Oryctolagus cuniculus: one gene and its partner. The protein of the gene in region 1 interacts with the protein of each later gene in a pairwise test. Links are inferred from orthologs where the notes say so. Each region holds a gene or a part of one and is shown on either strand. Other genes may lie near its edges.

Region 1 (3,809 bases):
AAGATAAACTTCTTTTAGTTCCATGTTTTTCATAAACCTTTTGGCGTACCCATGTATTTTGTTCTGAATTTAAAGGATATCCCCTTTCTTCTTCTTGCTTTTCCACTCATCAGTATGCTCTTTCACTTTCCTGTAGGAAATCTTTATTTCACCAATGCCTTTGTGTCTGAAACACTCATAGAAGTTCTTCGGATCAATACCACCTATCGCCGTGTTCTCCTTAAAGTCACAGTGGATATGCCTCGGCATATAGTTGTAGACCCCAAGAACAGATACCTCTTCTGGGCTGACTATGGACAGAAACCAAAGATTGAACGTTCTCTTCTTGACTGTACCAATCGAACTGTGCTTGTATCAGATGGCATTGTCACACCACGGGGCTTGGCAGTGGACCGTAGCAATGGCTATATTTATTGGGTTGATGATTCTTTAGATATCATAGCAAGGATCCATCCTAATGGTGGCGGATCAGAAGTGGTTCGTTACGGCAGTCGTTACCCAACTCCCTATGGCATCACTGTTTTTCAAAATTCTATCATATGGGTAGATAGGAATTTGAAAAAAGTCTTCCAAGCTAGCAAGGAACCAGCAAACACAGAGCCTCCAACAGTGATAAGAGACAATATCAACTGGCTAAGAGATGTGACCATCTTTGATGAGACTGTCCAGCCCCGGTCGCCATCAGAAGTCAACAACAACCCTTGCTTGGAGAATAATGGTGGGTGCTCCCATCTTTGCTTCGCTTTGCCTGGTTCGAACACTCCAAAATGTGGCTGTGCCTTTGGAACTTTGGAAAGTGATGGCAAGAACTGTGCAATTTCAACAGAAAATTTCCTCATCTTTGCCTTGGATAATTCCTTGAGAAGTTTACATTTGGACCCTGAAAATCACAGCCCACCTTTCCAAGCAATAGATGTGGAAAGAAATGCCATAGCTGTGGACTATGACAACATAAATAATAGAATCTACCTCACACAACAAGTAGTCTCTGGACCTGGCCAGATTTCCTATGTCAGCTTGTATTCAGGGAACCATTCTCCAACTGTCATTGCTTCAGGTAAGTGACCCCAGGTTCACACACAAATGATGGTATGTTTCTTATGCATATTAAGACTCTAACATCTTTGTGTGTGTGTTTGCTGGTGCTCGTCCAGATATAGGGACCCCTGATGGTATTGCCTTTGACTGGATCAACAGGAGAATTTACTACAGTGACTTCTCCAACCAGACGATTAATTCCATGGCTGAAGATGGATCCAAGCGCACCCTAATAGCCCGTGTTTCAAAACCAAGAGCAATTGTGTTAGATCCCTGCCGAGGGTATGCTATGATCTTCTTTATTGCATTTCTATCTGCTTATTTATGGAGTAAGTCCTGAAATATTTTATGTCCAGAGGCAGCCAGCATATTATTGACTTATATATGATTCATTGCTTGGAAATCCCATTGAGTGATTTTAACTGGGAAAGAGGGTGTGGTGAGTAATTCCTTTTGATGATAAAAAGATGCTAAGTAATCAGTGTTCTGACTGGGCAAATCCATTTAGAGCAAGTTTTGTGGGTAGGAATGTAGTAGAGTTTCTTTTGCCATATTAGTGTCAACTAGCAATTAAAGAGTGCTGCCATTTGTTTAAGTAAAAAGGACTGTGAAGTTCCTTATGATGAATTACTTATGATTCCTTTTGGATGACTAGGTACATGTATTGGACTGACTGGGGTACGAATGCCAAAATCGAGAGAGCCACACTGGGAGGAAACTTCCGGGTACCCATTGTGAATACTAGCCTGGTTTGGCCCAATGGACTCACTCTGGACTATGAGACGGACCTTCTCTACTGGGCGGATGCTAGCCTGTATGTGTCTTTTGTTACTCATGTGGGTGTTGCTAAGAAGAGCTCCTTCCTCCACTTACAAAGAAGAGGGATTTGCATAATTTGATGAAAATATAACATGCCAGAGAGATGTTGCCAAATGTAGAATCACAGTATTAGGAACTATGTATTCTAGCTTATTGACTATATATGTGAAACTTTAACTGTATCTTGAGATTGAATAATTATGAACTAAAAAAATTTAAAGATGCATTGCTAATACACCTGTGTTTTCAACTGTAATTAGAAATATAATTGCTCAATTTATAGTCAACAGACTGTAGGCAACTAGTATAAAATGTGAATCACTTCAATTGTTTCTAGATATGGAGAGAGAGGGAGGGAGAGAGAGACAAAGAGAAAGAGAAATCGATTTTCTATCTGCTGGTTCACTCCCCAGATGGCTGCAATGACTGGGTCTGTTCCTGGCTGAATAAGGAACATGGAGCTCCATCTCGGTCTCCCACATGGATGTCAGGGGCCTAAGTTCCTGGGCCATCCTCTGCTGCCTTCCCTGGTACATTAGCGGGGAGCTAGATCAGCAGCGGAGCAGCTGAGACTCAAAGTGGTGCTCTAATATGGAGTGTTGGCATTGCAGATGGCAGCTTAGCTCACTGTTCCGTAATGTTGGCCCTCAAATTTTTAAAACATTCCTATTTATTAGAGAGACAAGGCTCCACCATCTGCTAGTTTACTCCGCAAATGCCTGCAATGGTTGGGTCTGAGTTGGGCCGAAACTGGATCCAGGAGTTCAATTCCCAGGACCAACTACTGAGTCATCGCTGCTGCTTCCCAGGGTGTGCATTAACAGGAAGCTAGAATCAGGAGCCAGAATTGGGAATCAAGTCCAGGTACTCTGATATGGGACATAGGTACTCTAGCCCATGTCTTCAATGTTAGGATAAATGCCTGCATTATGAATAACTTTTAAGTGCATATTAATACTGATTTTTTCCCCCTGGGCTTTAGTATTTAGTATCTTTCTAAAATATTTATCTTTAATCTTTGACTTTTGAGCATCTTCTCAAACAGACTTTTCTTCTCTAGCAAGCTTCTTCTCAGCAAATCTCATAATTTTTGCCTTATACATTTCTGTCAATACGAACTTTGTATGTAACTTCTCTGAAACCCCCAAATGCCTAACAATGCAGTCATCCTAAAGCAATAGTTGAAAGGATGAAATTATTTCATTTATTGTGGCTGGTGTCTACATGTCAGTCATCTCTTCTTGCTGACTTCTTGATGATTTGGTCTTTGTGATGCCAAGTACCTAGCATCCTGATATTTTCTTCACTTTCTCATTTGAAACCAAGCAGCAGTGTTTTGTCATCCTAAATTGGATCATTCTAGGTCAACACCTCAAAATAAGCAGTAAATATCAAATTGAAAAGGTTGTATTGATATTTGAAAGTCAACAATTTTGGTAGGTCCTTGTTTGATAAGCACATAAGACTTCTTATCAATAGAAGATACATCCTAACTACTAAGTGCCCCACTTGGAAAGAAAGATGGAGGCTTGGGGCCAGTGCTGTGTGGTAGGCCAAGCCTCTGCCTGTGGTGCCGGCATCCTGTATGGGCACCAGTTCATGTCCCTGCTGCTCCTCTTCTGATCCAGCTCCCTGCCTGTGGCCCAAGAGCAGTGGAAGATGGCCCAAGTGCTTGACCCTTCATTCACATAGGAGACCTAGAAGAAGCTCCTGGCACCTGACTTCAAATCGGCCCAGCTCCAGCCATTGCAGCCATCTGGGGAGTGAACCAGTGGCTGTAAGACCTCTCTCTCTCTCAAATACATAAATAAAATCTTAGAGAGAGAGAGAGAGAGAGAGAGAAAGGGAGGGAGGGAGGAAAGATGGAAGGAAGGAAGGAAGGCAGGCAGGAAGGAAGGAAGATGGAGGCTTGTTTGAAACAGTATTTAGGCCCAGAAGTTAGGCTTCCAGTT
Region 2 (3,809 bases), on another chromosome or scaffold:
GGGCCCTGCATTTAGCTGGGGCCCCGGGGGAGCACTGGCTGTGGGACGGGGGCGGTGGCCTTAGATGCGCCCCAGGGGCTCTCAGACACGCTTGCCAGGAATGGAAGGGTCAGGGGATCTGTCCAAGGTGCCAGGCAGGCAGTGGCAGAGCTGGAACTGGGAGGGGCTGTCCCCTAGGAAGGCAGGGCTAGCTTGCCCATGGAGAGGCCTGGGCCCCTGGGGTCCGACCGCCCCTGTCCCCCGCCTCGGCGACCCTCTTCCGGCGCTCCCAGGGACTCCAGTCCGCAGTACGGCCCTCCTCTCCTGGCCAGAGACTCGGTTTTCCCAGGGTCCCTCCTAGACTTCTTCAGATACAAATGTGCGCCCCCTTCTCCCCAATCTCTTGCGGGGGCCCAGCTCCTCGGGCGACCCCACGTCTCCATGGCAACAGCGGTGACTTCATTCTGGGAGCTGCTTACAGCCCGGGTGAGGTCATCGGCCGTTGCCAAGGGAACGGGAGGGTGCAAGGAGCCGGAAGGGGGGTCCGCGGGGAGGGGAGAGGGTGGTGTTCTGCAAAGGGGGCGATCGGGCGGGGAGGGGCGGCCGTGCGCTTCCCGCAGGGGCGGCCCGGAGCCCCCTCTCTTCCCTGCCGCTGCTCTCCGCCCCCCGCTTCGTGGCCGCGCAATGGATTCGTCCGGGCAGGGGGCGGTGCGCGGCGGCCTCGGCCCCGCCCCACCCGGCGCGGCCCCGCCCCCTGACGCCCCTCCGTCCGCGCCGCGCAGCCCCCGCGCGCCGGGCTGCTCTCTGCGGGCGGCGGCGGCAGCGCGGGGAGCCGGCTGCAGGCCGAGATGCTGCAGATGGATCTGATCGACGCGACCGGGGACACTCCCGGCGCCGAGGACGACGAGGAGGACGACGAAGAGCGCGCGGCGCGGCGTCCGGGAGCGGGGCCGCCCGAGGCCGAGCCCGGTCAGGGACCGGCGTCCCGCGGCCAGGGCCAGAGCCAGGGCCCAGGCAGCGGGGACACATACCGCCCCAAGCGGCCCACCACGCTCAACCTCTTCCCGCAGGTGCCGCGGTCTCAGGTGAGGCGCGGGGGGCGGGGCTGAGGGGGCGGCGCCCCGGGGCGGGGCCGGCTCCTGGGAGGTGGGCGCCGGGGGACGGGTGGAGGTCCCTGGAGAGGGCGAAGGAGCGCAGGGATTGACGGGGCCCGGGGAGGGGTTGGAGTAGGGAGCACAGGGCTTGGAGCGGTGGCAGAGGTGTGGAGTTTGGGACCCTCAGGGTCTGGGGTCCCTGGTGAAGGTGGGGCAGAAACGGCGTGGGGAGAGGGGAGAGGGAAGTGGTCCGCTTGGGCGAGGGCCTGGGAAGTTGTGGGGGAGGTGGGGCCTGGGAGCTGGCGTCTGAAGTGTGGGCAGCCTGGACTTCCCAGAGGCAGGGGGGAGGCCTGTGGGATGGCGCTGCTCAGCTGAGCTGGGGGCCTGGGGCCCCTGGGCTGCTGGCCGGAAGCCAAGGAGAGTTGAATAGGGTGGGGAGCGCTGGCCAGGCCCTTTGTCTCCCGGGTCCAGTCAGGAGAGGTAAGGAGGGGACCCAGGGAGGGGGAGCTGCCAGGGGATGGGCGGGGGCTGCAGAGAAACGGGGTCCCTCTCCCTGGATCCTCTGGTAGCCCAGCTCGTGGTGTAAGGTGCGAAGGAGACTTGTATGTGGGCGTTGTGGGGGCCGGGCTGGGGAGGTGCTGCGGATGTGGGCAAGCAGCCGGGAGATCCGGGAAGGGGTCTGCTGCCAGCCATGCCTGTCGCCCCCGCGGGCTGGGCCCCTGGTCTGGGGGCCAGGGGAGACAGTGCCCCGGAGCCATCTGAGTGTCACCGCAGGCTCCCAGGGTACCTCACTGCTTTCTACCCAGGCTGGGCCAGACCGGCCCTGCCCCTTCCAGGATGGGAGTCACGCTGCCCCCCCACTGCCCTGGGCATCTCACGTGGGGGTCCTGAGTCTGCTGCAGACTCCCCCTCCTCACCCCCCACCCCGCAGCCAACCAGCACCACCTTTGCCCAGGCTGACACTTCCCTGGCCACCCCTCACCCCTGCTGCCTGCTGCAGGGCAGGGTGGGGGCAGCGAGCAGCCTGGGGGGGCCCTGTGGGGGCAGGGCCAGGGCCTCCCTGTGCCGGGCACTGCTGACCGCCTCTCTCACAAGGGCCCTTTGTTCGCTGCCCAGGACACACTGAATAATAACTCTCTCGGGAAAAAGCACAGCTGGCAGGAGCGCGTGTCCCGCTCGTCCTCACCCCTGAAGACAGGTGAGGCAGACCCCCCCACACCTGGGCCTCAGCCCGCCCCGAGTCGCCCCTGCAGGGCCCCCACCTTGCCCATGGGGGTCCACCAAGGCCTGGGCTGCGGACCCAGAGCCTGCCCGGGGCCCTGGTGCATGGAGCAGGGACCGGGGTGGGGGGCCCAGGTGAAGGCAGCCCGGCTCAGCACTGCCCCCCCACCTCCACCCTGCCCTGCAGGAGAGCAGACGCCCCCCCATGACCACATCTGCCTGAGCGACGAGCTGCCCCCCCAGGGCAGCCCCGCGCCCACCAAGGACCGAGGCACCTCCACCGACAGCCCTTGTCGCCGCAGCGCTGCCACCCAGATGGCCCCTGCTGGCGCCCCCCCCACGGCCGCCCCTGGGGGCCGGGGCCACTCCCATCGAGAGCGCATCCACTACCAGGCCGACGTGCGGCTGGAGGCCACGGAGGAGATCTACCTGACCCCGGTGCAGAGGCCCCCAGACCCCGCGGAGCCCAGCGCCGGCTTCCTGCCGCCGGCCGAGAGCCGCATGTCGGTCAGCTCCGACCCAGACCCCGCCGCCTACCCCTCCACCCTGGGCCGGCCACACCCCTCCATCAGCGAAGAGGACGAGGGCTTCGACTGCCTGTCCTCCCCGGAGCGGGCCGGGCCGCCGGCGGGAGGCTGGCGGGCGAGCCTGGGGGAGCCGCCGCCGCCGCCGCCGCGGGCCTCGCTGAGCTCGGACACCAGCGCCCTGTCCTACGACTCGGTCAAGTACACGCTGGTGGTGGACGAGCACGCCCAGCTGGAGCTGGTGAGCCTGCGGCCGTGCTTCGGCGACTACAGCGACGAGAGCGACTCCGCCACCGTCTACGACAACTGCGCCTCGGCCTCGTCGCCCTACGAGTCGGCCATCGGCGAGGAGTACGAGGAGGCGCCCCGGCCGCGGCCCCCGGCCTGCCTCTCGGAGGACTCCAGCCCCGAGGAGGACGTCCACTTCTCCAAGAAGTTCCTGAACGTCTTCATGAGCGGCCGCTCCCGCTCCTCCAGTGAGTCGACCTGGCCGGGGCTCTCCCCCTGCCCCTCCCCTGGAGCTGGGGCCACATCCTCCTGCCCCTGCCCCTGCCCCTCCCCCGGAGCTGGGGCCACATCCTCCCGCCCCCTGCCCCCCCCAGCTGGGGCCACATCCTCCCACCCCCTGCCCCTCCCCCGGAGCTGGGGCCACATCCTCCCGCCCCCTGCCCCCCCCCAGCTGGGGCCACATCCTCCCACCCCCTGCCCCTCCCCCGGAGCTGGGGCCACATCCTCCCACCCCCTGCCCCTCCCCCGGAGCTGGGGCCACATCCTCCCGCCCCCTGCCCCTCCCCCGGAGCTGGGGCCACATCCTCCCGCCCCCTGCCCCTCCTCAGGTGCAGAGTCTTTCGGGCTGTTCTCCTGTGTCATCAACGGGGTGGAGCAGGAGCAGACGCACCGGGCCATATTCAGGTGAGCACCCTCAGCCCGGGGCAAGGCTTCGTCCACTCTGCCCTGGGCCCCTGTGTTCAACCTCTGGGCATGCAGAGCA

Evidence for each region.
Region 2: the proteins of LRP2 (region 1) and MAPK8IP1 interact in a two-hybrid assay, tested with the Homo sapiens proteins (2 studies listed by BioGRID). The link is inferred for Oryctolagus cuniculus from reciprocal best matches to the Homo sapiens genes LRP2 and MAPK8IP1.

Annotation. Positions count from the first base shown.
Region 1 is NC_091434.1:71,865,472-71,869,280, forward strand, and holds part of LRP2 (low-density lipoprotein receptor-related protein 2), read left to right. Parts: intron 1-136; coding exon 137-1,057; intron 1,058-1,154; coding exon 1,155-1,320; intron 1,321-1,693; coding exon 1,694-1,852; intron 1,853-3,809. UniProt on the Homo sapiens protein: Multiligand endocytic receptor. Acts together with CUBN to mediate endocytosis of high-density lipoproteins. Mediates receptor-mediated uptake of polybasic drugs such as aprotinin, aminoglycosides and polymyxin B.
Region 2 is NC_091432.1:20,068,193-20,072,001, reverse strand, and holds part of MAPK8IP1 (C-Jun-amino-terminal kinase-interacting protein 1), read left to right. Parts: intron 1-761; coding exon 762-1,064; intron 1,065-2,189; coding exon 2,190-2,271; intron 2,272-2,481; coding exon 2,482-3,294; intron 3,295-3,654; coding exon 3,655-3,730; intron 3,731-3,809. UniProt on the Homo sapiens protein: The JNK-interacting protein (JIP) group of scaffold proteins selectively mediates JNK signaling by aggregating specific components of the MAPK cascade to form a functional JNK signaling module. Required for JNK activation in response to excitotoxic stress.